Schizosaccharomyces pombe: one gene and its partners. Each later gene encodes a partner of the first gene's protein in a complex. Each region holds a gene or a part of one and is shown in the gene's direction. Other genes may lie near its edges. The genes, in order: mrpl27, mrpl22, img2 and mrpl15.

Region 1 (7,848 bases):
CATTACTGGATTGGACATTACATGGTCGAAGCCATATCAATGAACAATGGAGTATGCGATCTTATGTGTCCAAAAATTGTATCCAGATGAAGATTCCAGCTTCAAACCAGAGAAAAACGCTTTTGAGAGATGTGTTAAAAATATTCGATGAGCCTAACCTACATATTGGTTTAAAAGCCGAACGAATGCATCACTTTGAATGTATAGGCAATTTGTATCTTATAGGACCAAAATTTCTTAAAACTAAAGAAGCAGTTTTGAACCAATATAGGAACAAGGAGAAGAGGATATCAAAAACAACGGATTCATCTCAAATGAAGAAGATTATCTGGACTGCTTGTGAAATTCGGTCGGTTACAATAATTAAATTCGCTGCTTACAACACTGAAACTGCACGAAATTTTCTTCTGAAATTATTTTCGGACTACGCAAGCTTTCTAGATCATGAAACTCTTCGCGCTTTTTGGTACTGAACATGTGAACTCGTATTTCTTTAAAAAAAAAAGAAAAACCAATTTAATAGGGTCCATATTTTATAATTATTTGGGATATAATTGAAGCACGCTTTTAATTTTTTTAAATTTCGGTTTTACGAGTAGGATGTTCCAGTAATTGAAATCTTTTACAGAAATCTCGAATCGTTTTTTTTTTCTACTCCCTTAATTCCATCAAAGCTTCTGCGTTTTTTGAAAAATTACTTAATTATGGAATCAGTTATGTTTCGAATACAATAACCTGTTGCCAAAGTCTCGATTTACAAAAACGTGGTTAATACTCGAAGAGGAATATTTGCCTAAAGTGTAAATTGAGAATGTATCCGGTAATTGCTTATTTTTAATCCTTAATTTTTCTGTGGATCAATTGAAAAATATTAATTGCGATTGCCAAATCTTGTTTCAATGTCTTGGTTACTGTACTTATACTTTTATTCCAAGCAAATAAAAGTTTTATGCTATATGGAACGACTCAAAACATGCTTCTCTTGGCTAGGACTTGACGTTCAATTACTAACTGTTATAGAAAATTTACTATTTAGTACACAGTAGATAACTAACTAATTGGATATAGCACTTGAGACATAGATCTCAAAGAGATTGTATCTATTTCATAAAAGAGACCTTTGTCTCTGGTTTAATCTGTTAATGCAGTCACGTTAAGTAAAAGCATTTTTGGAATTGTAATCACAACAAATCCAAGTAACAAAATATCATTGTTTTCGTATGATCATTAGAAGGTTAAGGTTTGCAGTTTTAATATCATAAATGGCATTTAACAATGACTACGATTGTAAATCCAAAGCTTCAGCTAACAGCTGACTTTTAGAATTGTATAATCGTGCAACATCGTCTTTAACTCGAACGATTACCCAGTCTCCAGCAGGCACAGGCTTTTTGTAGTTTATGCTATAACTGGGAGTACGCACATCGAAGTTTTCAGTAGGAATAGGGTCCCGAGGCTGTGTTGATTGTGAATTTGCTTGCGATGATCTAAGATTCCGAACAGTCTCAAGAGACTCGATCAATAAAGTTGCAATGGCGCCCCCATGAGCCAGTTTCTGATATCCTGTCAAAGCCTTACCCATGAGTCCAATGCTGATCCATTCTTCATGTTCGGGGTCATAAAATGTTTTAAATACAGGTATCAATCCATCTTTAAAGGAAAGAAAATTGGAAGGATACTTAGATTGAAGCAAGGACGGATGCTCCTCCATTTTCATGCTGCGTTGACGTTCGCGATAAATGTTATCAATCATTTGAACAGCTTCAGGCGATTTCGAAATTTCAGAAATATGTTTCGCACTTGCTGGTAGTCGATGATATGCTGTATAGGCATCACTGGAAACAACCCAAGAAGCTAGACCGCCTACCATAAATCCCCCAATCCCTGCTAATAACAGCTTATTTTGAAATAATTTAGAGCTCATAATCAAAAATTGAACAAAGTTTCAAACTTTTCGTCACAATGTAATAGGAGCGTTTACTATTAGCGATATTCGGACGTTATAAAACTGATACGCAGATGGAGCATATGTGCAAAGCATAGGGTATCATTAATTTATGCAAGAATATTTATCGTATATTTTAAGAAAATATAATTACTTACATATCCAAAAAGTATTCTATAATAATAACTAATACAGGAATAAACAAATTTCGTAATGCAATTGAAGCAAAGCATTTGGAGAGAAAATGATGATTGTGAATAATTCAATGACATAAATTGTAATAGTACAACATTAATTAATTTATTTCTTTTAAGATTGAATGTAAGAATCGATGCTCTGCCCTACTGTAGGAAATTAATCACTTCGATTACATTCAGCAAAATTCAACTTTGAAAAAAAAAGCAATATCAGAGAATAATCCAGGTACCTAGAAAAACTTTCATCGCCATTGCTGCAGTTTTCTAGTTGGTTTATGAAGAAGCATATACAATAAAAGATCGGAGAACTTTCACCTTTTTTAAAGCATCTGTTTTCAAAAAAGAAAGAAACTTTTATTTTCCCTTTTAATACGACTTCGGTCCAAATTACAGAAGTTGCGAAAACGAAAGTCAAAATTTTTGTAATAAAGATGCATACAGAGGGTATTCTGTATTTTTTGAAACAAAACTCTAATAAATATTAGAGAAAAAGCAGCCGTGGATTTTAGGAAAACTCCATTTCAACGCCTTCAACAGATATCATTTTCAACTCCCATTCACGCATAAAATTAACTTTGATTTCTTCCAGATGAGTAATAAGGGACTTAGCAGCATCAACAATAACCTGCTTTGGAGAACAATCTTCTACGGTTTGTACACGAAGTATGAAATTGTGATTTAATGGATGAGGAACTTTGTAACCAGCAAAAAGAACCCTTTCGTCAGATAGGAGTTGACTTCGAAAAAGCAGTTAGAAAAGAAAAAAAAATTTAGAAGTCTTACTTTGCAAGCATATTAGCCAATGTATGATCCTCTTTTTCAAGAGTAACTACTGCGGCATTAGGTGATTTGCTATCGAGCTCATATGTGACTCTACACTGGTTAATGCAATTCCTTGTAAAATTGTTTATTCCTTACTTGGGGAGTCCCATAAGCTCAATGAGCTCATACCGTTCTGGCTGATTCATTATGCCAACGTTTTCAGCCGACTAGCTGAAGAAGAAGTAAGATGTTGATGCTTACGAGGGTTTTGTCCACGTTCTGTACATTAAGCATCACTATAAATCGTAATGCCATTTAACAAAAGCTTTAACACTTTATTCCACAACTCATCGTATTTCGTTATAAATAACGCGAACGTGAACGGACACTTAATATATATTTATCTGTTGGAAATCGGCTCAAACGAGTAATGAAATGGGAGATGTAACAGTATTTTTTAATAACTGATTTTAATAACTAAAATTTTTAAAGGCATATTTTGAGGCGTTTAATTGTAGATTAACCGTACTTGTTTTCATTGAACTGTGCAGAAAGATAAACAACAAGAAAGCTCATTTAAATGTTGAAAAAAAAATAGTTTTTCGTACTTATTTCATTTTTTAGTTTCATAATGTAATTCGTTTGTTCGTTTTAAACAAATATTTTTATTGTTTACATTCTATGTTTCGCTTTGACTGTTACCTTATACCGTTACCTTTTCTTTTATGACGGAAAACGCGCCAACTTAAACCCTCCATTTACCCAAATCGAGAGTTATTCAAAATGCATCAATCATTATTATGTTTTGGAGCAAGACGCTTGCCAATGACCACAAAGTTGGGTCATCAGTATTACAAGGGTACAAGAACTGGGAAAATGGGTCAAAAAACCAGGCATGGAGGTTTTCTTGTCCAGTGGTCGCGTGTTCGCACGTTTGTGCCTCCTTCTGGTGATTGTGAGGTATGTTGTAAATTAATGAATATTGTTTTATATTAACTTTCAAAGCTTTTGCCTTTTGTTTCTCGTCGAATTCAAGCCACTAAAGGAACTTATCCTGAAGGTGCAAATGGGTTGGATGGAGCTGTGTATTTTGATCTTGCTCATAGCTAGTATGTTTATCAGCCTCATTCTTTATTGTTTTGAAAAATTTTGGTACCCTTTTCAACTGTTGCTTTATTCTATCTGTTAATGATTGGGCATACACTTTGAAAGGAGAAATTTCTACGTTACGATACCTTATGTTGCGTTGACTGTTGTTATTTATTGTTTACGGACACGTATATTTATCGATATTCTGTTGTGACGTTTGCTTCTATTAAATATACTAGTTACATTCTTACTTTTTCTGCCAAAATTGGGGGCAATCTTGAGTACTGCGCATTTATATATTTATTATAGGATTAGTCTTTTTCATCCCATCTATCTTAGAAAAAAAAGGGCTGCTAATACCTAGCAATGCGGTTTAAGCATGGATTTTCTATATCTTGGATATCAGGTATAAAAATGTCGAAAACTTCATGTTTCTTGAAGAAATACAGACTAATATTACTTTGGTGTATCCTTGGCATTGCCTACATTTTATTCTGGACTCATCGGATTAGCAAAGCGTTTGCTTCAGTATCCTCGACTTCGGACTCAACCGTCCATCTTTTTGAGCGCGGAAATACCTTAAATGATAGCAACGACCAAATTTTACTTACATGCAATGATATCAAAAACATTACCCCTGCTAATCAATGTCGGTTTGCAAAGGCTTACTGTAAGGGAGAGGCTAGTGGGTTCTTTGATTACGTTGAATTTTATTTTTGTACCATTAACAGTCTCCGATTCCCAGTGTTATCAATAATTGTGGGATGGCTGATTTTCCTTTTCATAACTATCGGAATTTCTGCTAGTGATTTTTTTAGTACCAATTTGGTTACTATTTCGTGGCTACTTCAATTGCCCGATTCTGTGGTTGGCGTTACTTTTCTTGCTTTAGGCAATGGATCTCCTGATATTCTTAGTACGTTCGCTGCTGTACGTGTCAACAGTGGGGGAATGGCTATTGGGGAACTTTTGGGCTCTGCATTCTTCATCGTAGCCATAGTTGCTGGCAGCGTATGTTTAATAAAGCCATTTAAAATACCTCGGCGTCACTTCCTTCGGGATGTTGCTTTCCTTACCGGTACTATTTTACTTGTTATAATGTTTGTTTTGCATGATGGTTCGTTGAGTATTTGGCAGAGTCTCGTAATGATACTTTATTATCTACTCTACGTTCTTTTCGTCTTTTTCTCTGGTAGCTCTGGTGTTAGCGTGGTAATCACTGATGAGAATTATTTGCCTGTCTCCCTTCCAGTCTACTCACCGGTTTTAAATTCTTTCGATGACTCGGATTCCTATAGTAGCACGGATTCTGAATTATCCGAAGAGGCATTTCTCTTGCCTGCCCAAGCATCTAGAAAGACCCAAAAAATACATTACATTAACGATAATGACCCTTCAAATTCGTATTCCTCATATCAACATTCCCATGTCCATGATTTTATTCACAAAAACAACACTCATTCTAACCGTGTGCTAAGTCAGTCATCGGGCCCCATTGTGCGTCCTTCGTTGCTTGCTGCTCTCGACTTTAGATCTTCGAATGAGGAACAACATCCGGGATTACGCTCACTTGATCCATTGAATATTCAAGACGGTGATCTTACTATGCATCCTATGCATATTCGCCATTCTCAAAGCGATTTTTATCCCAGTGGAATTAACACCCCTGTGAGTGGAATTAATTATCCCAATTTGGGATTTAGCGCCAATAATAGCGTGCAATCCCTTGTTTCTGAAATCTTTCGTCACCCAACTCACACTGACGAAGACTTTCCATTACCCTCGCCATCACTTAGTTCTTTGCTTTTCCCTACTTTGCGAAATTTTGCCAAAAAATCATGGTATGAGAAGTTAATGGACGTCTTAGCTGTTCCATCTGTTTTAATATTTACGTTAGCATTGCCTGTATATCAATGCCCGCGATTGGCAGTTGATCCCATTTATCATATGGATGTATCTAACTGTAATCCATCAAAACCAACATGGTCCCGTAAACTTCGCTTACTACAATGTGTGTTCGTTCCTTTTGCCTTTGTGACCTTTTCCATCACAGGCGGGAATCGTTTATATATTTATGCTGCATCTTCTGTGTTTTCTATTTTGTGCATCACAGCTTTGTATTATTATACGGATGAAGAGAAACCTCCAAAATTTCTGCCGTGGGTAAGCTTCATTGGATTCGTATTAGGTATAATATGGATATCGACTATTGCGAATGAAGTCGTAGGTATTTTACGAGCCCTCGGTGTCATTTTCAACTTGAACGAATCTATACTTGGACTCACTGTTTTCGCTGCTGGTAATAGTTTAAGTGACCTCATTGCGGATATTATGATCGCTCGTTCTGGTTTTCCCGAAATGGCAATGGGTGGTGTATTTGGAGGTCCAACTCTGAATATTTTAATCGGTATTGGCATTTCAAGCTTCTATTCAAGTATCTCCAACCACGGAAATGACAGTGTCATTGAAATACCTCATTCCTTGTCGATTACTGCTTATTTTTTACTTGCTTGTTTGTTGCTGTTGTTGATCTATGTTCCATTAAACAGGTTTCGAGTTAATCGAGTTTTAGGACTTTTACTTTTCATATTATATATTGTTGGGACTTCTACTAACATAGTGGTTGAGCTACTTAAAGACAAATGAGCTGATTTACGTTTATTATTTCTCCTAATGACCAAGACAAGTTTCACTAATTCACTTATGGAAGATCATGCTTAACCCGGAACTTCAAAATTATCCCCTCTTTTTCGTCAATTTTATTTCTTATGTTTGGAATGCATTTTATTTAATTCGTTTATCCATTCTGTCCCAAATTTATTTGAGTTGATTACTTTTGGAGCATTACTACTTTTTTTTAGTTTAGCATTCGTCTTCTATTAAATGCTTACAATTCACCTCTTTTTAATTTTCACTCGGTTTAGAAGGAATTGACTTAACAATCAAGAAGTAGTTTTTATTTATAAGCCCATTTCATTGTTTGAAAAAGCTAATTTTGTATTTACTATATCGTATAAAGCTTTATAACAAAAAGTATAGCGAAACACCTAAGGCTTCGTTAAACGAGCCTCTTTGGATAGACTGCGTGTGTGCTGCCATCTACAGTGATATTCCAAATTCGTATAATTTATCTATGCAAGAATCATAGACAGTAAGATGTCACAATTGGTGGATGTACCCGCTCGTGGGTTTATAATATATGTATAATTTAAAAGAAAATTTGCTAATTCTAGTACAAGTCACCAGAAAGTTGCTATTGACATAGATTTTGCTTCACAAACCATAATTGGAAGGACGGATATAACAGTTAATCCTATAGACTCAAATTTGCAAAAAATTGTATTAGATTGCTACCAGGCTGGTAAGTAGATTTTTGAGTGGAAGTTTTATAGCTTTCATTCGCTTGTTTTCTTCAATGCGCGTCTTGTATGATCATTTACTAACTTGTTAAGAAATCCATTCAGTTTATGTAAACGGGGATCTAACTAAATTTTCCTATAGTGATGCTTTAAAGAAACTACGTATTGATGAACCAAATTCAACGGTAAATCAACATCATCAACTTAATTTACAGTATGAAGCATTGATGAATGATTTGGGAGGTATCAATATATTCCTTAGCAAGCCTCCTGGCGATGAGCTAAGGCCACTAATTGTTTCAATTGATTTTTCAGTTCATCAACCTATTTTCGGGATTACATTTGTTGGTATCGATCCTGTAGATCATCGTTATCCACACGTGTTTACAAACAATTCTATAATTCCTTACAGCACTTGTTCATGGCTTCCTTGTGTCGATGGCATTTGGGAACGATCGACTTGGGAATTTGAGATCACGTTGCCAAAAACACTCAG
Region 2 (8,027 bases), on another chromosome or scaffold:
GAGAGTCTCTTAGTCAGCATGGACTGGTAAGCTTTTAACTGTGACGAGTCTAGTATATACTCGCCAGGACCGAACGGCTCAAGAGCATTTACGATTTTTTGAGAGTTATTTTTTAAGATAGAATTTATGCGTATCCTAGGATTATTTTGTATGTGTTTAGCAGTCTCCTGATTACTTTTACAGTGTACCAAGTAATCCTTCATCGGGAATGTGCTAGCAGAAAGCCTCTGTAATGAACGAAGAACATGCTTGTAAGCTTCCCAATAGCCTGAAGTAGCTTCGATCATAACATATTCTTCTCGAGGATCTAAAGAGATACTAATATCTTCAAATTTGACATCTATTTCATGAGGATGTTTATTAAGGCCACTCAAGGGCCGCGCACAGACAGTTCCAATGCGAAAAGTCTGGAAATCATCATTGCTTAATAAAACTAAAGATCCACTGATAAGACGACGACTGGTAGCCCATTTTATTTTTTTCTTAGCGCGAACACTGAAGGATAATTTTGCAGCTATAACACTGGAAGATATTGTATAGCCATCTATCCGCACATGATCATATACGGCTAACGAAGAGCCGGTAATGTAATTGGGGTTTACCTTGTACCGAAGCACACTTTCTCGTAATGGGGAAACTGCGTCCTCACGTAGCAACCGATAGTGTATAGATAAGTAATCTTCAAAGGACTTGTATCCTCCGTATATGTTGTTTGAAGGTAATTCAACACTCTTTGACGTCAATTCTTCCAACGTTGGAATTGATGGTAGTTCCCGCCAAGAAGAAGTATCGCTTGCGGGATGGTGTTCGTTTTCGAATTCTCTATTTTTTCCCGATGTTATATCATTTCTCTTTACATTACTCAATTCATAATCGTTGTCAATGCTTCTCTTACGACGTATTGACTTGTTTTCTTTTAAATTTTTATCAACTTTGTTCCCCTCCGAGTCTTGGGTTTTGGAGGTTTCAGAAGTCTCGATTTGTTCTGTGAAACTCGTAGTATTATTATCGGCGTTAAAGATGTTGCTATACAATGGGTGTCTTTTCATTTCACTTAAAGTTTCTGGCTCGGGGATTTCATCAAACACAACTTCTGTATTTTTGTTCACCATTTCCCAGGCGTCCAGCGTACTTAACTTCCAAATTTCATCTTGTACTTGTTCCATAATAAAAAAGAAAAGGATAATATCCAAAAAATTTCAAAAGGTTATTGTACTAAAATATCTCAGTACGCGCCCACTAGGTCGTAATATTAATCTCGTCCTCCCCAAAGAAGCTAAAAGATATCATAAATAACAATTCATGTACAGTCTCTGCACCTGTCTCTAATATTATTTGTCTAACATACAAATGGGTTGTTTGTTTACTGCCAAGGGCCGTTTTCTGTCTTTACGTGACCATGCATTTAACGCGTTCAGATAATACCCGCAATGTGCAGCTTAGTGTGCCAGCATAAAGCATGTAAGCATGTGTTAACATCGTTGTAAAGTTACCTTATCGTAGTTTATCCATCCTTGAAATAGATTTACAAACTGAGTAGCTTGCATAGTGATAGTGAGCTCTCTCATTTAAGATTTTTATAACTGTATAAGGAGGGAAATGCTAACTGACCTATAACATAGTACAGTTAGCAATTCGTTAGGTTGCAATTCCTATTAGTACCACCTTGGCATGTAATATTTACCTGGTTTTGTTACAACATTGAGAAAGCGCATTTGCTCAAATTAGTCGAAAACGTTGACTTCTATGTGTGGAAGGAATATTTGGGAAAAAATTTTTAAGATTTAATTATGAAATACATTAATCAATTTATGAAAATATCAAAGGGCTTTTTAGTTCCATCGTCCACGATAGGATTGAATTCTAAAACGTACCATTACAAATTTCCATTACTTTCTTTTGTTAGAGAATTTTCAAATGGATCCTACTTAAGGGAGTCTGCACAAAATCCTGCAAATTTGGGTTCGCAAAAAGGGTCCGACATTTTCTCAATGCTTGCTAACCAGAAGGACGATTCTAATCGTCAGCAAAAGGAAGAGCGTGTAAAAGAGAGACCAAGGTCACGTATTTCTTTCAAAAAACAGGAGACCATGGATCCTTCCTACACCTTACAATCAATGGTGCTTCGCTCCTCTTTAAAGAAAGTCGGCGCTTTGTGTCGTCAAATTGCCCATAAGCCATTTTATCATGCTTTACTTCAAATGAAAATGTCAGATAAAAAAATTTCCAAGTACATCGCAACTGCTTTGGTTTCTGCTCGAGAAAACGCTGTTCGTGAAGCTGGTCTTGATGAGAGTACTCTCTACGTTGATCAAATATGGGTTGGAAAGGCAAAGTATTTAAAGAAACTTATCACTATGGGCCGTGGAGGTCGTGCCATTGAGAGATCTCCACGGGTTCGAGTTACTGTTGTTTTAAGAGATGAGCGAGCTCTCTTGCGCGATTTACAGCGTCGTCAACAAAGACTAGAAAGAAAGAAAGTTTGGACGCCTCTGCCTAACCGACCAATATACCTAAAATCTAACTTTTTCACTTGCTAAGTCATTATTGAGATGCCCATATCTTTGATACTCTAATAATATTTCCCCCCAATATCGTTTATAGTAATTCTAGTGCCGTTTTTTTTTTATGAGAATATGGTTTCCCTTATTATTTATTTCTTTAGCAACGCCATAATTTTGTATTTACCTCTATGGTGCTGATGGTATCAGTAGAAAAATAGTACTGTAAAAAGGTAAACTAACCAACCTGTACATACATCACTTTTAGTTCAATGATACGTTTTCGTAAAGAACGCAATTCTTTTTAAACTGTCTAATCTTATTAAATCATTCATGCAATCGTTTGCCTCATTAACATTTTTCAAATTTGGTTTGAAGCATTGCAACGAGCTTCTTTTTTTGACTTTTCAAAACGTGCTTTGGACCATATGTTGAAGCTATCCATATCTCTTCACCATTTTGACACATATTTATTGGTTCTAAATTCATCAGACACTTTTAAACAATCAAGCAAACCGAGTATAAAATATCATTAATTCCCCAATTATTAGGTGTAAAGGTACGCTGGATCCGCATTTTAACTCATTTGCAGTAGCAAATGATCAGTAGGAAAAAAAAGGAAACAAACCGCATCAAATAGACAGTAATTCTTTTTAATGGGCCATAATGAAAAAATAAGTTGAGATAGTAAATGTATCAACTATATTAACTTGAACCACAACAATGAGTTTTTTTTTTTAAACTGTGGGTAAAAATTAATTTAGAGAAAATCAGTGTTTTCATTTAAGAATGTTTGGAAATAGAAAAAAAAATTTCGCATATTTAAACAAGACGTTTTGCAGGGTCATATGTTGCTAACCCCAATTTAAAAACATATTGAAAACATGCGATAAGCACAGAGAAAATAAAAAATATGATAACTATCAATAATAATGCATAATTTAATAAAACATTTCAAGCTTTTTGTAAATTTTTCGACGGCATTCATTTTAATCATCCATTTGGAATGGCGTCTCTTCTTCCACCGTACTATTCCACGGAGGAGAACTATTAGCAACGGTTATACGTGATACGCTATTATTGGTACTCACGACAGGATCATTTTTTGTATCACCAAGACCAGCGATGGTTTCCGGAGATGCTGTATCACTTCTAAAAATAGGCTCGCTCTTCAATCGAGCAAGACTCACAGGTCTTGAACCTTCAGTGGTTGGCGAGCTGAAGACGGCCTCTTCACGAACACTAAAACCTGAAGGTAACTTATAAGAGTTATTGACACTAGTGGCTAAGGGCGTGGTAGACATTGAACCCGAACCTTCAACATAACGAGACTTGGAGAAGTATGCGCCGAACCTACTACTGTTTAACGAATTCATAGTAGAGCTGGTCCGAGTACTTAAACCAGGACTTTTCAAGGAAGAAGTGTACTGCTTAAAGCTTGAACTTAATCGATTGATAGGTGATGAGCCCAAAATGCTTTCATCAAAGCTTCCTAAAGGCGTACTTAAAAAGCGCTGCTCCTCATCACTAACGTCCATTTGATGATTCAAATCTACTTTAGTGGGCAAGCTAGCACTAACCACTGAAGGAAATGCGCCAGCATAGGAATTACTACGAGGTACCTGTCGTCGTTGATTTATTCCCGAGCCAAGTGATAAGTTGCCAAGTGATTGATCGAGTGTAAGTCGAGGACGGGATAAAGAAACACCGGTTTTGGGAGCAAGAGGCGGGCTTTGTAATGGTAGAGATGCTTTTAATGGGTCTTGGCTTGTTAATCTAGATAAGGAAGACAACGTATCAGTGGAAGAACACCTATTACCATATGTATTCAGTAGAGTAGGACGACGAGAAAAGTAATCTCTATTATTCTCACTCGTCATCTGCTGAAACAACAACCCCTTACTTCCGCCAAGATTGGTAGACGAAGCACTAGACGCAAGACTGAAAGACGTTGGTGATGTTGCCAATGGAGGAGAAGCAATGGGAATTCCATTCAAACTAGAGGGAAATCCAGAAGAGCTATTATTAAACTCATCCACAGAGCGACTGTTTACTCCAGAAGACAAAAAGTTTGGCGTTGTCATCATACCATTAATAGTGGAATTGCCGCTATGCCTGCCAGGAGATCTCGAAAATGGGAAATAGGGGGATGTGGCAGTATTACCTCTAACATCTGTAGCGGTTGTGTTGTTAGCCTTATCTGCCGGATTTTTCATCGTTTTCGAGGACAGCGAAGGGGAAATCTGATTAGCACCCATTTGTTTTGACGCAACAGAGCTTGCTCCACCATTAGCAGCCATTGAGGCCATAGTATTTGTAGAAGTTCCATTAGGTAAATTTGTGTTGCCAGGAAGGGCGTGTGATAAAGCACATTTAGGACCAAATTTGCAATTCCCTTTCAAGAAGTATTTACAAATTGGTCGTTCTGTTTCTAGAGAATGGCTAAAAGGGCAGTTTTCGCCTGCGGTACAAGTTCCATTTCGGAAGAACTTACAAGGAACATGTTGTAAGTCTAAATCAAAGTTAGAAATTATGTAAAAATAAAAAAAAAATGTTACATATATACATATATATATGCGCATAACATAAGTTTAAGTTAACAAATTTTGGAAAAACATACTTTTTACAGTGCTAACACCGTTTTCTGGAGTATTTTTGGGCAACGTTGATTTCGCGGATTTTTTTTGGTCAAGTAAACGAGGATCGCTTCGTTTGGGAATTGCGGATGATGCAGCAGACATTGAGACAAGTTAATTTTAGTACAAAATGCAATTAAAGAGTAGAAACTATCGCTTGAGTATTTTGGGGATTACACTTTATTTGCCTCAGACACACAGAAAAGTGGGTGTTTCAAAATGAATCCTTGCAAGAAGAAAAAGACAATAAACAAAAAAAAAGCAATTCAAGTAATTAAGAGCAAAAAAGTAACAAAAAAAATCAAAAGAACCACTCTTCACGAAAATAGCAGTATTTGAATTACTAGTGTTCTTTTTTGTTATTGGGATATTTACCAAAAAAGAAAATTAAAGGAGGAATTCAGGTAGACGAGGCACGTTCGTACTTGAAAAAGAGAAAACAGGGATCCGTCACTGAAAAGTAAAGATTAACAAAATGGAGAAGATGAAAAGATAAATTAGTAGAGTAAATGGGATCAAATTAGTAGAAAGTTTTAAAAAAACAAAGAGGAGAGAAATGGGGGATGGAAATTTTTAAAGAAAATTAAAAGATTGTCTTAGCTTAAGAATAATAAATCAGCAAGAAGATACACAGATAGTCAACAATCACAGATGCGTGCTAATGGAAATCGATGCACTAGTTTTGAGGGAGGAGAGAGGGAAACGAAATAAACAAAAAAAATGTAGATGGGAGTAAAACGGGAAATTTTTGGGTTTCTTTTTTAGTAACAGCAGAAAAAACCGGGTAAGTAAAATAAAAGAATAGATGACGAGAGAGAAGGAAAAGCAACAACAGGTTAACAATGCATGCACCTACCCACACAGTCGAACGATAGGAGATAAAGGGTAAGGAAAGAAGGAGGGAGGGGGATTGTTTAAAGTTAGGGACGTCGAGTAAGTGAGAATAAAGAAGACAGGATCCCCAAGGTGCAAAAACCAGCTGGGTTCACTTAAAAGCAATAAGAAGACAAAACCTTAGTGTGAAAAGAGGAAACTTTAGGAAGAAATTGCGCAACTAAACTCCTTTTTTCAACCAACTGAAGATAGCGATTTTCCAAACTGCAAGAGTAAAGCCGATAAACCTCGTTCACCGACTATCCTCAATTTATAGTCGAATTGAGCTTTCAGCTACACCTTCCAGCGCTCTTAAACCACCTTAAATCCTTTCTTTTTTCAGTGAACGGTGAGTAATGTAGTTGGCTGACGGTAGGTTGATTCGCAACATGTAGCATTCACATCTTGTTGATAGCTGCAAAGTGGCCCTTCAAAACATAAATCATTCAATCTTTTATTTAACAATTAAAATTGTAATCTACAATTCCATGTAAAAACATAACCCCTAATGCATAGAAAATGTTCATCTAATTTCGTCGAAGCTTGTCGCCATTCAACTCCTCATACGCCCATACTTAAGGGCCAGGCACGTATCGCATCCCAAATTTGATGTCATATCAGACAAAGAAATCAAACACCTCAACAAGCGAGATCACAGGTAACAGCTACGGCCTCCAGGTAACAGGCTTTTCACCCGCGGAGGCGACAAGATAGAGATGCGATTTGCGCCGAGATGAGTGTAAAACAGTATTGCTAGAGTGAACGAGTACACAGATGAGAGTGGAAATTCGCATTGTATCACAAAAATTATATATTTTGATTTCGAAATAGGGAATTATCGGGATGCGCTATGCTGCAAAGAAAAGAAGAAATGGCGCATTTGCTTGACGCTTTAGTTGTTCAATCACCACATCGCTGATGAAACAAACAAGTTGAAACAAAAAGCGATCCCAATAAACAATTCAAATTTCCATTTTGCAGTATCCGATTAATGCGACCATTTGTGTAATTGCGGGAAATTGCACTGCTACACACTTGCATGTATTTTCTCATCATAAACGGGATGGCAAATTAACAGGGGAACAGGAAAGCGCAATAAGCCATGCAAAAAATGAAAAAGGATAATGAAAAAACTATCATAGTAGCCGCTAACAAATTGCTTCTAGTAAAAGTCAAACTTCTTCACTAGCATTTGTAATGTATCATAGTTATAGTACTATCGAATTGTTTAATGGCTCAATTACTACCGCTCCAATTTAAGTGAAGGGAGGAAGAAACAAATTGAAAAATAAATCATTAAAGAAAGTAATCAATCAATTATTCAATGAATGAATTTCAATTAGTAAGTGTTGGCTTACTGTATACGATATAATCTTTGTATACCCTAGCACTGCTAACTCCATCTGCTTTTTTTCGGTTTCCAACCGGCTTTTTTCCATCTTTTTGCTTTTGTCCTAATCTATTCCTATGAAATTGTTAAAACTCAAAACTCAAAACATGAATTGATCTGGCACATCTTTCCTTGCATCTTTCAAAATTACTATATTGCCTCAGTACGGATAGGATGACGATGCCTAATTCGGTACAAAAAATATCGTATGCTGTTAGCCTTCCGATATTTAACACCAGATAACTTGCACACGGTCGGAGCTCGCCTCTCCACATTACTCGGTCTTTAACTAATTTTTATGTTAAAGATTACGGTCAGATTCTTGAAGCAATTTCGGAAGAGTCCTTATTTTTATTTACCAACGCCAAACCCAGACTCGTTTAACTTGCACAATTTTTTTTTTTACCATGTCTTTTGCTTTAGTTAGTAGGCTGTATCAATAGCAAACTATGTCTCTAGCAATTGTTCGGTAAACTATACGTACTACGTGCTACCTACCAAGTTTTGTAAACCATTTGAACGATGCAGTAAGACTACGGCGAGTTCTCCTAACTTAGTATATAATGCTATATGGGTTGTTTGCCTTGTACAATTATTATCTAGTTAAACATATTCAAATTATTAAAG
Region 3 (8,385 bases), 840 kb from region 1:
GTACACATCATGTGGGGGTGGGGGAACCAGTGCTGGAGATCACTTCTTGCTATACCGTTTGGCTCATGGCAACTATTGAGGATAGCAAGGAGCGTTACAATTTGCAAATCAATATGATAAACAGAAAAACAACAAGTTGAAGCTTAACACTGTAGCAATATAACAATGAAAAAAATAATCAGAATTAAAGCAAGAAGCCTATAAATGGTCCATCAATTGTGAAATCGATATTGCTAGATGTCAGGCAAATCGTGAACTCGGTTGAAAAATGTCGTTAATATTCATGTGAAATCATAATTACAGCAATATGTTCAAAGACTTTTGGATACTTTATAATAATGAGGATTCTATTTTTGAGTGGTCACATGGTCTCGTAACCATGAGGTACGCCTTACTTTTACGGACGAAACAATATTTCACATTCAGCTCTCAATGTTAAGTATCCAAACAAACATGGTACAAACCAATAAAGCATGTAAATTAATAAGCTTGAAATAAGGAATAGTCATTAAATTCAGTTTAGACATAATGTAAAAGGTATCAATTTTGTCTTTGGTATAGATACAATTAAGAATTTCGAGACGGAACGTTCGGTGATGTAGAGTTTTCATAATAATTTCTGCAGTTGCTTACACTAACCGAAGAATCGTCCAGTATAAACTGCTGACGATGCCTTAAATCAATAATTGCAAATTGCATAGTTGACGTTTTCCCGGGTGGCACATAGTGAGATTTGAGTCGAATAATGAAATAGCCTCTGACGAGTGGTTTCGTACCAAGAGTTTCAAAAAGAATAATCCACATTAACTCAATGTATCATTGATGACGGAATGTTGCTTATATAGCCAGAGTAACCCTGCTCTGAAGCATCTAAGGTTATATCTTTTTAACTTTTAGCTAGCAAACTCACTTGTTCCTTTAAGTTCAGAAAGTATCTGCTGGTTATTCAACAGATAATTATCTTGCGAAAAAGGAATACACACTCAGCATTGTAATTTGTTGAGTATATTTCACAAGCACATTAAATTGCATTATCAAACATGAGTGGGGATATTTTAGTCGGTGAATATCTATTCAAAAGGCTTGAACAATTAGGGGTCAAGTCCATTCTTGGTGTTCCAGGAGATTTCAATTTAGCTCTACTTGACTTAATTGAGAAAGTTGGAGATGAGAAATTTCGTTGGGTTGGCAATACCAATGAGTTGAATGGTGCTTATGCCGCTGATGGTTATGCTCGTGTTAATGGTCTTTCAGCCATTGTTACAACGTTCGGCGTGGGAGAGCTTTCCGCTATTAATGGAGTGGCAGGTTCTTATGCGGAGCATGTCCCAGTAGTTCATATTGTTGGAATGCCTTCCACAAAGGTGCAAGATACTGGAGCTTTGCTTCATCATACTTTAGGAGATGGAGACTTTCGCACTTTCATGGATATGTTTAAGAAAGTTTCTGCCTACAGTATAATGATCGATAACGGAAACGATGCAGCTGAAAAGATCGATGAAGCCTTGTCGATTTGTTATAAAAAGGCTAGGCCTGTTTACATTGGTATTCCTTCTGATGCTGGCTACTTCAAAGCATCTTCATCAAATCTTGGGAAAAGACTAAAGCTCGAGGAGGATACTAACGATCCAGCAGTTGAGCAAGAAGTCATCAATCATATCTCGGAAATGGTTGTCAATGCAAAGAAACCAGTGATTTTAATTGACGCTTGTGCTGTAAGACATCGTGTCGTTCCAGAAGTACATGAGCTGATTAAATTGACCCATTTCCCTACATATGTAACTCCCATGGGTAAATCTGCAATTGACGAAACTTCGCAATTTTTTGACGGCGTTTATGTTGGTTCAATTTCAGATCCTGAAGTTAAAGACAGAATTGAATCCACTGATCTGTTGCTATCCATCGGTGCTCTCAAATCAGACTTTAACACGGGTTCCTTCTCTTACCACCTCAGCCAAAAGAATGCCGTTGAGTTTCATTCAGACCACATGCGCATTCGATATGCTCTTTATCCAAATGTAGCCATGAAGTATATTCTTCGCAAACTGTTGAAAGTACTTGATGCTTCTATGTGTCATTCCAAGGCTGCTCCTACCATTGGCTACAACATCAAGCCTAAGCATGCGGAAGGATATTCTTCCAACGAGATTACTCATTGCTGGTTTTGGCCTAAATTTAGTGAATTTTTGAAGCCCCGAGATGTTTTGATCACCGAGACTGGAACTGCAAACTTTGGTGTCCTTGATTGCAGGTTTCCAAAGGATGTAACAGCCATTTCCCAGGTATTATGGGGATCTATTGGATACTCCGTTGGTGCAATGTTTGGTGCTGTTTTGGCCGTCCACGATTCTAAAGAGCCCGATCGTCGTACCATTCTTGTAGTAGGTGATGGATCCTTACAACTGACGATTACAGAGATTTCAACCTGCATTCGCCATAACCTCAAACCAATTATTTTCATAATTAACAACGACGGTTACACCATTGAGCGTTTAATTCATGGTTTGCATGCTAGCTATAACGAAATTAACACTAAATGGGGCTACCAACAGATTCCCAAGTTTTTCGGAGCTGCTGAAAACCACTTCCGCACTTACTGTGTTAAAACTCCTACTGACGTTGAAAAGTTGTTTAGCGACAAGGAGTTTGCAAATGCAGATGTCATTCAAGTAGTTGAGCTTGTAATGCCTATGTTGGATGCACCTCGTGTCCTAGTTGAGCAAGCCAAGTTGACGTCTAAGATCAATAAGCAATGAGCAAGCTATTGAGAGTGGAATTGGCAAACAAAGTTTCCTTTGATTTATATGTTTTTTATGATAAGCCCATTCAATTCATATAGTCTTTTAGTATAATGATTAGTTATTAAATTTATGTTTAAAGCAACTTTTTAGTTTAAAATTTTTCAAGTCAAGTTAGGGTGTACGTAAACAAACAATACCTTGGAAGCAATGAATGAAAAGGTAGAGTTAATCCAAACAATGTGGAAACCAGTTTCCTTGCATCTACTTACTAGTTTCGCAGAAAAATTGCTAAACTGCTTAAAAGCCAACTTTAACATTCTTATTTCTTACATAGGAGCTACCGTTCCATTCACATTGTGATATGCTAAGAATTTATTAGTTTTACAAAAATTGGGTGATTCTACTATTTAATACAGTGGTTTTGTAACGTAATGAAATTATAACGCTCGTTTATTACGATTTCCTAGGTAATGTAGCGGGTAAAGGCAATTGACTGATATTATGTATCACTCTATCACAGCAACGGACGAACGGTTTGCGTTGTTGTTTATAAATGGTTCTGCAACGCAGCTTCTGACTTTGACACTCTACACCACACCATACTTCAGCGCTCTATTCTTTCGCATAGGAAGGTAAGCTGCATTTCGTGGCGTTTGGTACCTTGAAAAAATATATTTTGGTTAATATTCGTTGGCTTTTTCTTTTAATTCTTGCTACTAATTCCAAGAATTGTGTAAGTATAGGAAGAGGCTGTGTTGATCGGTTAGTTTCGTAATTTCGGCATACTAGTGATTCCTAAAATACCGACTACTAATAATTATAAAGCTTAGATCACTTCTTTGGCTAAAGTAATTAAACCAGGAAGTCTTAAAATTCCGCTTTTTAGCATCCTAAAAATTTCCCCGTCATTTCTCAAAAGTGTTAAACGCGTGAATGTTCTCAAAGCTCTGTTTTCTTTTCTTTGCTTTTTGAACGGCTTTGTCTTTGCATTAATTTTTGTGACGCGTTTTGTGCCTCCAATAGGTAATTAATCTAAATCCGTTTAAAAAGTTGTAGGTGACTTTTTATTTTATTACGTTTTGCTTTCATAAAAAAATCCATTTCCTTCTGTGCGTTGCATATTCATTAATATATCACTTTGATATACATTAAGGTGAATTAGAAATTATTGAGCTCCTCTCCCTTTGTTATTATTTCACGCTTTTTCTCAGGCCCACTTATAGTCCTCTGAGGAATTTTTTATCTTTTTTTTTAAAATACCAACTCAGTTTTTGTCGAGTGATTCTTCTTTTTTATTCATTCATTCGGTTAACTAAGTTCCCTATATTATTTTGTTTTCTACTACAAGCATTACGTTTTGTTTTTCAGTGAGCTTGTTTCGCATCTCTGACCAAAAGGAAGCAAATTGACGGCTAGTGTATTTTTGACTCGTCACATTCTTTTGTCTATCTTTGCCAATTTTTCAAATTATTATATATCTTCGAGATTAACCTCCATTCTTTAGGCTTATTCTCGTAATTTCCTTCTCAATTGAGTTCAATTTTATTAATATTGATTTCATCTGATATATTTTTTCCTTGGACTTTTTCTAGATTATATTTGTTTGCGCGCAATTTACTTATTAAATATGCCTGAAGGAGCCGGTAGACCGTGGAATCTCACAGAACTTGAAGAAGAGAAGTTGAAGACTATGTGGAGTTATTTGTTTAAGCTCTTCGGCATTACTTTACTCGAAAGAACTGAATCTTGGTACACAGTGAAGACACACTTATCTGATGATTCAAGTAGTTCCTCATCACATCGTTTAAGCAGCGTCTCATATGCGAAATCCCGTACACGACTTGAACTAACGTCTTCATCTCATGGCTCGGACACTCGCAGTTTTAATGATAAAACCAAAAATGTGCATTTGGAAAGAGTTGAAAAAATTGCAAGTGAATGGGACCCGGAAGGGCTTAGAGTTTGCTTTTGGGATGCTGTTAATTGTGATGATCCTGATGGCCTTCTACTTCGTTTCCTTCGTGCTCGAAAATGGAACGTTGAGGCTGCGTTGGAAATGTTCATGAAAACCGTTCACTGGAGAAGTAGAGAGATGAATGTTGGTGAAATTGTATGTAACGCTGACCACCTTGATAAAGATGATGATTTTGTGCGTCAACTAAGAATCGGAAAGTGTTTTATATTCGGTGAAGATAAACACAATCGTCCAGTTTGTTATATTCGCGCACGTCTTCATAAAGTTGGTGATGTCTCACCCGAATCGGTTGAGCGACTCACAGTTTGGGTCATGGAAACTGCTCGTTTAATTCTCAAACCTCCTATTGAAACTGCTACTGTTGTTTTTGATATGACTGATTTCAGTATGTCCAATATGGACTATGGGCCATTGAAATTCATGATCAAGTGTTTTGAAGCACACTATCCCGAATGTCTGGGTGAATGTATTGTACACAAAGCGCCTTGGCTTTTCCAAGGCGTTTGGTCCATCATCAAATCTTGGCTTGATCCAGTGGTTGTCTCAAAGGTTAAATTCACTCGTAATTATCGTGATTTGCAACAATATATAAATCCTGACAATATTTTAAAAGAATTCGGTGGGCCTAATCCATGGAGATATACATATCCAGAACCCTGTCAAAACGAAGCAGAAGCTCTGAAGAATGTTGAAGCTCGTAAGAGTCTTAGAGCAAAAAAGGATGCAATTGCTAAACAGTACGAGGAAGTTACAATGGATTGGATTTTGAACAATGGTGACATGGCAGAAGTGAAACAAAAACGTCGTAAGTTAGCTTCACAACTTATTGATGCATACTGGAACTTGGATAAATACATCCGCGCACGCTCAGTTTACGACCGCATGGGCCTAATTGCTCCTCAAACTTCCCATACTTTGCTTCTTTCTCAACCTACAAATGGAGATGTCAAAGAATCAATGGTAGAAGTTACTAGCTCGGCAACTTAGTCGGTCGTAACTTTCAATATTCCTGCTATTTTACATTGTAATCCTTCCCCTTGCCTATACTCCCGTATACTGACTAATTGTACTTTCCCGTGTTATTCTAAATAAGATGCTGGCTCAAAATATGATTGTATCATCTATTAATGCATAACTTTCAAGATCTTTTATATCAATTAGTTACATATGAAATCTCTTTCCTACGTTGATTTTTACACCCCTTTTCGTTTTACCATTTCCTTATCGCTTTAATTTTTTAGCACTCTCTTTAATGCACTTAAAATCATCTAGAAAGGGATAACTTTTTTTAGGTCTTATGGCTTTTCATTGAAGTTGTTGGTCGCAATACTTATCCATCCATTTTGTCTTTATTAGAATCAATGATCAGTTTTATTTGCAAATTAACTTAGATTTCTTGCTATTTATTATTATTTTTTATTTTATTGTAGGAAAGCGGTTCGAAATTAAAAAAAACAACAAGCTGAACACCTAAATGCCTACTCCAAAATATAGTATTAATTTAATGAGTATGCACCTTCGCTGAAGTATATTCCGTGCCGTAAAAATACTTTCGAGTTTAAACACGCGTGAGGTTCAAGCACCGATTAAATTTATTTAAAACAAGAGCGTTTTATTTTATTTTAATTGTTCTTAGTGAATCACTTAATCTTAGGCTCCTGTTTGACAGTTGTTTAAAACTTACAAATTTTTGGAGGTTATGATAGAAATCCTCTTTATTCGCGAATGCACGACGACTTCTTTTACACATCCACCATAAATTCCTGCAACTCGTAGAAAGTTTTGTTGAACCAAATGCGATCATCCTTAAAGCCAGTGCTATCAAATTTGAGGTTCAACTCAACAATTGCATCCGAATCACTTCGGTTTCATGTTTCACGTACACCTTCAAAAAATCTCCCAGTCTATCTAGACTACAAACAACGAGGAACGAAAATTCTGACTTTAATTCGTAAAATCCATGGTGATTCTAATGTAAGTATACATATTCCGTCAGCAGTAATCTCTTGGCTAAAGAAAGTACAAGTAAAGTCACTATGCTGCGGAAATTGTTCTATCAACTTTTTGCTTTAACGGCCAACCCAAGTTTATTTTAACTTCTTTTATTCGTTCTCTTTTTTTTTTCTAACAATATTTTATCAATAGGCTTTGCGGCTCAGGCTCATTTCCACACTTAAAATGTCACCGAAAGATGTTTATGTAAACAAGTTAACAAATCAAGTTGTCCTAAAGGGAAATCACATAGTCACAGTTCGTGAATGGTTACAAGACCAAGGTTTTTAAGTTCCTAGAATTTTTCCTTTTTTAGATTGTTACTATGTATGTACGTATCCTTCTTTCAAAGGAATGATAAAGTTGCTTTTTATCAACATAAAACTCTCGAGCATATATATCAATTTGGCTTTTTAGCATATTACTTTTACTTCATCTCCTTGTTACAGCGGTGATAATGTCAAATAAAACACAGCTGTTGCAAATAATTAATCTCGATTCATTTCTTCTCATCATACGTGGTTTTCAAACTTGACAATGGAAAAAATGCATCTTTTGTGATGGTTTTCCTTAACTACCTTTAAATAAATAGTTATTCGAGCTTCAGTAGAAACATTCAAGAGGTACTTGCGTAAAAAGAAATTCAAACATCTGCTTAATGTGAGGCGTCCAAATGCTAAATACAATCTTTTTTTTGCTACCTATTCGTTTGTTTTGTTGAATTTATAAACGCTTAAAGGAAATTATAATATATATATCGAAACTCCGGTGTTTTTATTTTTTGACTGTAGTTATAGACAGAATACGTTTAAGGCTATTAGGGTATATAACTAAATTAAAAATTCTTTTCTCAATATTGTATAGTTTGTAAATTGACAAATATTAAATGCTATATCGAAAACATACCTTCAAACATAATCTATATATCTGCGTCATACGCCCATGGACTGTTCTTTACCTTTCCCTTCACACATACTTATAATCCTGAAATCTCAACGACTTTTTCATTATTTTTGAATTGAACTTGGATTTGTCTGTGATAGGAATATTTTGACAAACATTTTTAGCTTTTAAAATTTTTGCTTTGTTCTGAAGACGTTGATTTACAATTTGCTTATGAATTAATTATTCACGAGAAGAAAATTCCTTGTAGTTTATCCCTTTTTTATTGGTGATTATAAGCTGAATAACTCTTAATGTTGGGAATTATATTTTCTTTAGTGAACTGAGGCTTTCTCGAAAAATACTTACGGTTATCCATGATTTAATGATTTTCTGTTTTTTTTGTTATTTTTTTTTCGTTTATCAAAAAGTGGTTAAGCATTGACACGATATAAGGCACTTTATTTCCGTGTTGAATTTTTTGTTTTGTTTTTTCTTGACATTAATACCTTACTTTCCTTGAATGCGAACAAACCGCATTCATTTGTATTCGATTATCGAAAGCCTTTTATTCCTTTTCTTTTTCTTTTTTATTAATGCCAGCTTGTTATTGTGCGACATCAACGTCTCTTGAAAATAATGAATTGCTATACAAAAATATTCGAAACTTGTTCTCTACTAGCAGGAGTTTTCCAATCGAACAAGAATGGATGAATTTGAAATCGATAAGTCAGATGAAAGACTTTTTTTCAAACTTTCCTGGTAATAGTAAGGCGAACAACCACTTTCTCTGTA
Region 4 (8,290 bases), on another chromosome or scaffold:
TTTTAGTAATAGATTACAGTTACGTTATGGAACTAAATAAGAAACTTTTCTTATAATCAACATTTATTATCTGATTTACACATGATAGATATATTTACCTTGACAACAGGTAAAACCCTTTCTTTTAAAGGCTTGACAACTCGTTGTTTTGGCTCCATTATAGCAAAGTTGTTATTTTCAAAGTTTTAAAGATGTGGCTTTTGTTAAGTTAATATCCAGCAAAAAGTATGTTGTAATAGTTGTGATAGAGTACAATGTACGCTTACCAATGGAAGATCCTAAATTTTCCTACATCAGAAAAAGAAAACCTATGGAACTTCTGTGAAATACGCTAGTACACGTTTTGACTAGAATTCTTTTAGCAGGAATATAAGCGCTTAAAAAAGGATTTACGCCTTTGAGTAGCATTCAAGCTATTACAATTAAATAGATTTAAATAGGGGCTACACTCTTTAGTTTTCTAAAATCCAATTGTTTAAGTCTAGCAGACACTCCAGAAAGCTAACATAATTCATTTACGACCCTTGATAACAATGTACAAGAAGCTCTGACTAAAATTTTTCAAAGTGAAATGCTAAAGTACGATGTTGTTTGTTACGCTATCTGTTCTATGTTTTACATGGAAACAATAAATGGATTAATTCTTGCACATTTACTAGTGGACAATAAATGGTTCAGATTCAACATTACTATATCACACTTGTATTGCTCGGCAACCTTCAATAACTTCTATTTAAAAATAACTAGCAAGATCTAAACTGGCTCTAGAGTATTCTCGAAGATAACACTTTGTGGATTCCGTTTTGAGTCCAGACGTTCTGTTAACAACATATCCATACGTAAATTGTTAAGTTATTTGTTGGCGAAGACGAGTACTATAAACGAATTTTGAGAAGCTTGGTATAAGTAAATGTTAGACTGTCGAAGTAATACGCCCTATATGTGTTCATGCCAAAAGAAATCAATAATATAGTTGACAATTTGAAATGCAGTGTATAATTTAAGGCAGTAAGAGACGAAAGTAAAGAGGGAAAAGGAAAATCATGTACTGTTATCACTTTATTCTTCGTTGATTTTCTTCTTCTTTATAATCCCACTATATTTGGTGGATTCATAAACTCGGTTGGTCCATGTTTATTTTAATTGATTTTCGTTAGCTATCTTAAAAGAAATTGGGCGGAAGATGCATCATAATGTTTAAACCAGTTTAGTCTGATCAGACACTAGTAAAAACGAGAAAACAATACTTATCTACCAATGAGTTTTCAGGCATCTATAAATATCGTTCTAATAAAAATCGAAAAAACAATCACAACTAACAAGAAAATCTTTTAAGAATTCTCAATCTTTATAACAGTCAATTTTCTTAAATCTAAGCTAATGCTCGCGAAATTCTTTGGTAGCTCTGAGTTAATAAATCAGAAAGACAAAACAAATCATTCAGGTTGAGTACATTTATACAGTAAGATTCCAACCAAAGCTTCCATATATGATATCTTTTGTAAACTTAAGGAAAGAAATAACGAAGCGGAATGTAAACATTTATTAAGTGTTTATACGTTCCAATACGTTAGATCTTATTATAGCGATTATAATATCAATTTCATATCTATCGCCGTATCGTTAATGTGATATAACAATAGGTTGCGATAAGGAAGAGGTTACACGGTCATATAGCCATACTCTCAAAAGATTAGATAAATTAAATTTTAAGTAGTACTACCTCCTTTTTGCGTTGGTTGAAAACTTGAAAAACTGACTCTGTTTTAACAATTCTGAATGGCTTCTTCACAAAAACTTTGGGGCGGTAGATTTACTGGCGCCACTGATCCCTTGATGACAGCTTATAATGAGTCTATTCATTATGACAAGCGCATGTTCAATGCCGACATTGATGGCTCGAAAGCTTATGCTAAGGCATTAGAACAACGCGGAATCATTAGTGCTGATGAATTGGATAAAATGTTAGATGGTTTAGAGGCTGTCCGAGATGAATGGAAGACAAATAAATTCACTCTTCAACCTTCTGACGAAGATATCCATACTGCTAACGAGCGCAGATTGGGAGAAATAATTGGTACAGGCATTGCTGGTAAGCTTCATACAGGAAGAAGTCGCAACGATCAAGTTACGACCGATATGCGCCTTTGGCTACGTGATGAGTTGGACATCATCCAAAAATCTTTAGTTGGGTTACTCCAAGTTTTTGTTGCTCGTGCAGAGTCTGACCTTGATATCATTATGCCCGGTTACACTCATTTGCAAAGAGCCCAGCCTATTCGCTGGTCCCATTTCTTATTGTCTCATGCCTTTTCTATATTAAATGACTTGGATCGCTTGAAACAAATTTATTCTAGAGTCAACCGACTCCCTTTAGGCGCTGGTGCACTTGCTGGTAATCCTTTCGCCGTAGATCGTAAGTTCTTACAAAAGGAACTTGGTTTTGAAGGGGTTATTATGAATTCAATGAATGCTGTAGCTGACCGCGATTATGTTATTGAATTTATGTTCTGGGCTAGTATGGTAATGACCCATATTTCCCGTTTGGCAGAGGATCTTATTATATATTCTACTTCTGAGTTCAACTTCGTTACCCTTTCCGATGCTTATTCAACTGGAAGTAGTATTATGCCTCAAAAAAAAAATCCCGATTCTTTAGAACTTCTTCGTGGAAAGTCTGGCCGAGTTTTTGGCAACATGATGGGCTTTATGGTTTCGGTTAAAGGGATTCCTTCAACATATAACAAAGACCTCCAAGAAGATAAAGAACCGCTTTTCGATTCTTCCAAAACTGTTTTGGATTCCATTCAAATTCTAACCGGAGTTCTTTCTACTTTAACTGTAAATCCAGAAAATATTGCTAAGAGCTTGACTGCGGACATGCTAGCGACTGATTTGGCAGAATACCTTGTGCGTAAAGGTGTTCCCTTTCGTGAAACTCATCATATTTCCGGGTCCGCTGTCCGAATGGCCGAGGAAAGAAACACTACCATTGATAAGCTAAGTGTTGAAGATTTTAAATCGCTACACCCATTATATGAAGAAGATGTTGCAGATGTTTTCAACTATGAATCCAGTGTGGAGAAGCGTTGTGCGATTGGTGGTACCGCTAAGAGTTGTGTATTAGAACAAATCCAAACCATTAAAAAGGCCTTGGAGTAGATAAGTTTACATGAAATGATATGGATATACTTACTTTTTCTATATGTTCGTTTGATCATTTAACAGGGCTTCCTCAACATAATTCCCCGAATCGAGGTTTTTTGGTGTAAAACGGGCAAATAAATAATTGTAGCCTCATAATAATATTTTAAAAACACGTAACTTAAATCTTAAATCGTAAATATTCATACTGAATGAAGTAGTACTTTTAACCTTTCGTCTTTCTCCTTTTAACATTATCATCATCGTCAGATTCCCCTAACTCGTGAATATCTGCTGTATCGTCTTTTGATAATACAAGCCCGAAACCTGCATCAACAATTTGTCCGTCTTTTCCTTTCTTTCGCTCTTCTTCTTCTTTGCGTTCCTGAACTTTGGCAAGTCGATGAATTTGAGACATAAAATTCGTAGGTTTAAGATCGCTATATTGATTTGTATCAAAGACTTTCTTATGATAAGGCGCATCCAATTCATGATGACCTTTAAGCTGAAAAGCATCCTTCGCCTTCAACTCAGCAGGCTCTTTATCATTTTCATGAAAAGGATCATATTCTCCAACCTCCTCGAAAATATCGAGCTTCAAATCAACTGGTGGAAGTGGTATATCATGCTTAACAAAGCTTTTCCCTAAGCTATTAGCGTTCACGTTTAATTTCTCGGTTCTATGTTCATTTTCTAAACGTTCATTATCATTTTTTAACTTTTTTTCCTTCTTCACAAGCCGTTTTAGGATTTCACCATTTTCATCAAGCAAATATTTAACTTTTTTTCCATTTTCCAAAATTTTACGATATTTCGGTTGTCCATTAGGATAAAGAGGTATCTTCTTTTTTTCTTCTAGAATAGAAACAGATTCAGGATGTGATGACTCCTCAGCAACTTTCTCTAAAAGCTTGTCTGCTTCTTCGTCAACTTCTTTCTCACTCGAAGAAAGCAGAGAATCATCCAAGGCTAGCTCATTAGAGCGAACTTTTTCAAGCAATTTTCGATCAAGACCACGCACGAGATGAGTTGTATTCAAATCTCCGCCTAATTCTTTAGATTTTTCTGAATATTCTTTTGTCGTAATTTGGCCATTGCGAAGTTTCTCGTGCAATTTGTGCAACTCAATATCCTGTTTGGAAGAAGGCTCTTCATAAAATTGAGTATCTTTCCCTGAATTTTTTGCATTAGAATGTCTCGTAATGTCTGACGATGTAGAATGACTTAGTTGTTTTCTTTTAATTAGGGCTCTGGGTGCTTCCAATTTGGCCGTCTTATGTTTACGACCAAAAACAAGTCGCTGACTTTTATTCGATGAGAAATTTTTTAACTGGGAGGTTTCGGCTTTTGGAGTAGCTAAAAGCTTTCTGAAATCATCTTGGTTCATTGTGACAAATTTTCAACCAAAACTTCAGTATCCTTTCAATTAATTGTTTCTTTGGAATAACTTTGTAGTAGTTGTTTATATACACTTAACAGTAAAACACAAAATAAATTGTAAATTATTGAAACAGTTTGATAACATTAGCATACCTTGACGTTCGTACACTGTGATCTCAAGCGTAGTGCGCTATTTTACTACTTCGTAATCGGCCAATGTTTTTTAAAAACAACCTATATTCTAGTTGCAGAAAACAGATATCTTTTCTTTCGAAAAGTTGATTTTCCATACAAGGGTTTGAGGAACTTGAAGCTCTTTCTAAGATTTTATGCCATCCGTATGTTAACAAGACATTGTAATCGTTTAGGACTTCAAATTGAAAATAAATTTGTGTTCAGATCATCATCATGGAATTGTGTCCGTCGAATTGGGAAAATTGCGTGTAATGAAAATAAGTACAGATATGAAATGACATCTACAGAAGAAGACATTGACAGCTTTTTCAGTCGTGTTTTTGGTGAAAAAAATTACATCTCAGACAAATCTCTAAGAGAACAAATTGTAACTCATAAATCTTATAAACATGGGCTGAAAAGATATAATGAACCTTTCGTTTCGGTTGGAAATGCAGTTATCGATGTTTGCTTACTTAATCATTATTTGGAATCAGGAAACTTTAGCACAATACCTTCATACAAGGATTTAGTAAATCTTCGTTCCCCTGCTCGACTCGCTGAAGTTGCAAAAAAATGGAATCCTGAAACTGCCACACAATGTATTTTGCCATTAAAAGGGCCTAATTCTCCATCTTCGTCTAGTTTTGAAAAGATATACAGTAGTATTGTTTCCGGACTTGTTGCTGTCGTTTACTTCCAAAAAGGCGGAGTTGAGGCTATGAATTTTTGTAAGAAAAGCATCATATCAGATTTGACAAAAGATTTCGTGAGACCTAATACCGTGCATAATCAATAAGATGTGTAGCAGCAGGATAAAATTCTTTATGCAAAGGATGCCATAATATAGTACATTTTGCCATACGCTTATTATTACTATCGATTTATTTAACGCCTCTTTCATTCAGTCAGTAGTTAATAATATATTTCATATTTATCAACATTTGTATAATATAAGCTGCATCCCAAAATCTTATTGATCGAGTTGTAAGTCATTGGCATCCATTCACAAACTACGTTTTTTAAGCTCCCTTATCTTTTTCAGCATATCTGCTAAACACTGTTTTGAAACCAAACCGTCACGCATATTCTCCTCGTATATTAGATAATGGATATTTCGTGCCCATTGGTAGAGTCTACGACCTTGTTGCAGCTGGCGTCTGACTTGTCCGATGGTAGAAGGAAAAATTGCAAAAGGGATATTTAATTGGACCAAAACTGTTTTCAACATGTTGGCTGTTTCAACACTACACTGTTGATCTATATGCTGAAGGCCTAGCCGATAATAAAGTTGTTTTTCCTTAGCCAGATTAAATCTAGAATCAGGCATATTTAAGGAAGTAAGAGGCTGTGAGGTATGGAAAGTAGGGATGGTAGATGAAGCAGGTGTTGAGTAGCTTTTGTTCTTTTCGATCATTAACTCACTTTCATCTGACAATTTTGCATCAAGATTATTGGTATTAATAACATTTCTTATATCATTTTTTGCAGGGGCTGTAGACCCGTCATTCAGCATAGTATTCTCCTTATTATTTCCTTTGTCAGTAGTCTTTGTGGTTATTGCATTTTTTGAGCTTTCATTTGATTCTTGATCTCCATTTTGAGAAGTATGCCGAAGAATTTGTATCTCTTTACGGGCTTGGGTAAGTTCCTTACGCAAGTGCTCAAATTGCAAAAGAATAGCATCAAGTGTTGATAGCTGAACTCGTATTTCACTTGGAACCGCAATTTGAGATTTTTCATTATACCTTCCGTTGCCTTTAAGGTTAAAATCATTGCTAATAGTAGCAGATCGTACCTGCTTCGTATCAGGTTTTTGCTCTTTAAAGTCTTTTGTGCTTTTAGGGAATCGTTTTGGAGGACAAAGTGGAGTAGAAACAGTTGTTGACATTGTTGTGGGACAATAATCCTGCTGATTCATAAGCAATTGCTTGGTTATATTTTCAATCTGTTTATCTCTTTGTTGGCATTGATTTGATAAGGATTGTATTGTGGCATTCATCTCCAAAACAATATTAACAAAAGAAGGAGGTAAATCGGTAATGGCTTGTTTAAAAGGATCGATGTCTTGATCATTCGACGACATCTGTTTATTATTAGAAAGATTTTCCTGAGCCTTTTGACAATCCGTAGATTGGATAGGTTGACTAATAGAAGAAACACATGTAGATGAAGTAAGAGGATAGCCAGAAGGCGGTACTGGATATGACTCTGGTACAGTTTCCAAATGAACATTCCGATTTTGAAGCTCCGGCTGTGAGAAATGTTGTTGTGGATAACCTGAACTCAAAGAAAAATTAGGCTCAGGATTATATTGATTAGGGCGAGTGACTGGGGGTGGTACGTTACGGCTTGGTGGAACCTGTAAACTTTTTTTAGTCTCTTTAGATTGCTGATTAAACACTTCAGGGTCCAATCCATCTTGTTGATTAGGAACACTAATATTATCTCGTAGCTGTCCTTTTGGACTTTGGTCATAAGAGCTGGTGTGTGATTGAGAAGGTGGAAATGAAGGTGAATTGGAGTGCATATGACGAGCACTAGGTGAATCAATCACTTTCGGGGCGACATTCTTGTAAGGTGTACTAGTATAAGATGCTTTCTCCGAGTTAAACGAAGGCTCATGATGTCTTTGAGCATTTTGACTATTATCACCAAGTTGATGACGCGGATCCAGAAATAAGTTGTTTGAACCTGGTATTTGCTCTAAAGGAAGTCTTGTAGAGTCATTGGGGTTCGAAATTTCTTTTTTGGTGTTTTCTTTAATCGTAGTACTATTTACGCCATTAACAAGCTCACTTATTTGTTCATCGTTAAGTCCATCCAACAATTCAGCTATTCGATCAATTCTAGCGGTACGAGACGGATCTGCATCTACATAATATTAGTTACATTTTCAGTTGACAGACTTTTCGAAAAAGTATATGGACGTTACAGGTGAATACCCTTCAAGCCAAAATGTATGTCATAAACCAATTTCCCTCTTAAAATAGAAAACATTTAGTTCATCTACAGATGGAAGAAGACGGCATGAGTGTAATTACCCAGTGTTTTCAAAAGTTCACAATACAAGTTGACATTAAACTTTACCTACCTTCGTCAAGGGAGTCAAAGTATATACTGTCACCCGCAGATGGATGACTATCAAAATGAGAATGACCTAACCATCGGTAATCTGTACTCAAACTATCACCAAAAGCCTCATCCATTCTAAAACATGATTAAAAGGTTTAGTTTGTGAGTAGCTGACTTAAAACTAATATTGTTACCCAAGAGTGTAAGTCACATGCTCGAAATGTAAATAAACACCAGATAATAACAAAAAGTTGTTAACTAATTATGAGTATATAAATCATTCAAATGTATCATTAATTCTTGTAAATAAAAAGTTTTTCTATTAGAGTTACTAGAAAAAATGAATGAATTTGAAAAAGTGTAAAGGCAGACATAGCCCAAATCCGAACTTCTTGAAAGTAATGATTCTAAAGCCATTATATTTTCTAGTACTTAAACTTTAGTTTAATTTTATATTTATTGGAATTATTTTTTTTTCTAAAATACTCAAGTGCCCATAATCACTGAATTATTTTCT

What was found.
Region 2: mrpl27 (region 1) and mrpl22 share a complex: the UniProt entries of both Schizosaccharomyces pombe proteins name them as parts of the mitochondrial large ribosomal subunit.
Region 3: mrpl27 (region 1) and img2 share a complex: the UniProt entries of both Schizosaccharomyces pombe proteins name them as parts of the mitochondrial large ribosomal subunit.
Region 4: mrpl27 (region 1) and mrpl15 share a complex: the UniProt entries of both Schizosaccharomyces pombe proteins name them as parts of the mitochondrial large ribosomal subunit.

The regions. Positions count from the first base shown.
Region 1 is NC_003424.3:1,429,215-1,437,062, reverse strand, and holds mrpl27 (mitochondrial ribosomal protein subunit L27), read left to right. Parts: upstream 1-3,664; 5' UTR 3,665-3,687; coding exon 3,688-3,864; exon of another isoform or gene 3,865-3,909; coding exon 3,910-4,014; 3' UTR 4,015-4,290; downstream 4,291-7,848. Other genes in the region: ure4 (urease accessory protein UreD), read left to right, coding at 1-473; SPOM_SPAC3A12.08 (uncharacterized protein), read right to left, coding at 1,280-1,924; DNA-directed RNA polymerase II complex subunit Rpb11, read right to left, coding at 2,648-2,879, 2,926-3,015, 3,061-3,110; SPOM_SPAC3A12.06C (sodium/calcium exchanger), read left to right, coding at 4,408-6,639; TATA-binding protein-associated factor Taf2, read left to right, coding at 7,150-7,181, 7,233-7,354, 7,446-7,848. UniProt on the Schizosaccharomyces pombe protein: Component of the mitochondrial ribosome (mitoribosome), a dedicated translation machinery responsible for the synthesis of mitochondrial genome-encoded proteins, including at least some of the essential transmembrane subunits of the mitochondrial respiratory chain.
Region 2 is NC_003421.2:2,022,794-2,030,820, reverse strand, and holds mrpl22 (mitochondrial 54S ribosomal protein uL22m), read left to right. Parts: upstream 1-1,686; 5' UTR 1,687-1,790; coding exon 1,791-2,540; 3' UTR 2,541-2,647; downstream 2,648-8,027. Other genes in the region: helicase Hrr1, read right to left, coding at 1-1,166; SPOM_SPCC1739.01 (zf-CCCH type zinc finger protein), read right to left, coding at 3,491-5,013, 5,122-5,242. UniProt on the Schizosaccharomyces pombe protein: Component of the mitochondrial ribosome (mitoribosome), a dedicated translation machinery responsible for the synthesis of mitochondrial genome-encoded proteins, including at least some of the essential transmembrane subunits of the mitochondrial respiratory chain.
Region 3 is NC_003424.3:584,557-592,941, forward strand, and holds img2 (mitochondrial 54S ribosomal protein mL49), read left to right. Parts: upstream 1-6,510; coding exon 6,511-6,690; exon of another isoform or gene 6,691-6,861; coding exon 6,862-6,999; 3' UTR 7,000-7,596; downstream 7,597-8,385. Other genes in the region: pdc202 (pyruvate decarboxylase), read left to right, coding at 1,041-2,756; csr102 (sec14 cytosolic factor family phosphatidylinositol transporter), read left to right, coding at 4,369-5,703; SPOM_SPAC3H8.04 (chromosome segregation protein), read left to right, coding at 8,187-8,385. UniProt on the Schizosaccharomyces pombe protein: Component of the mitochondrial ribosome (mitoribosome), a dedicated translation machinery responsible for the synthesis of mitochondrial genome-encoded proteins, including at least some of the essential transmembrane subunits of the mitochondrial respiratory chain.
Region 4 is NC_003423.3:4,360,257-4,368,546, reverse strand, and holds mrpl15 (mitochondrial 54S ribosomal protein mL57), read left to right. Parts: upstream 1-4,755; 5' UTR 4,756-4,864; coding exon 4,865-5,497; 3' UTR 5,498-5,665; downstream 5,666-8,290. Other genes in the region: tts1 (tetra-spanning protein 1), read right to left, coding at 99-158; arg41 (argininosuccinate lyase), read left to right, coding at 1,780-3,162; SPOM_SPBC1539.02 (uncharacterized protein), read right to left, coding at 3,371-4,531; SIN component scaffold protein Sid4, read right to left, coding at 5,705-7,572, 7,793-7,907. UniProt on the Schizosaccharomyces pombe protein: Component of the mitochondrial ribosome (mitoribosome), a dedicated translation machinery responsible for the synthesis of mitochondrial genome-encoded proteins, including at least some of the essential transmembrane subunits of the mitochondrial respiratory chain.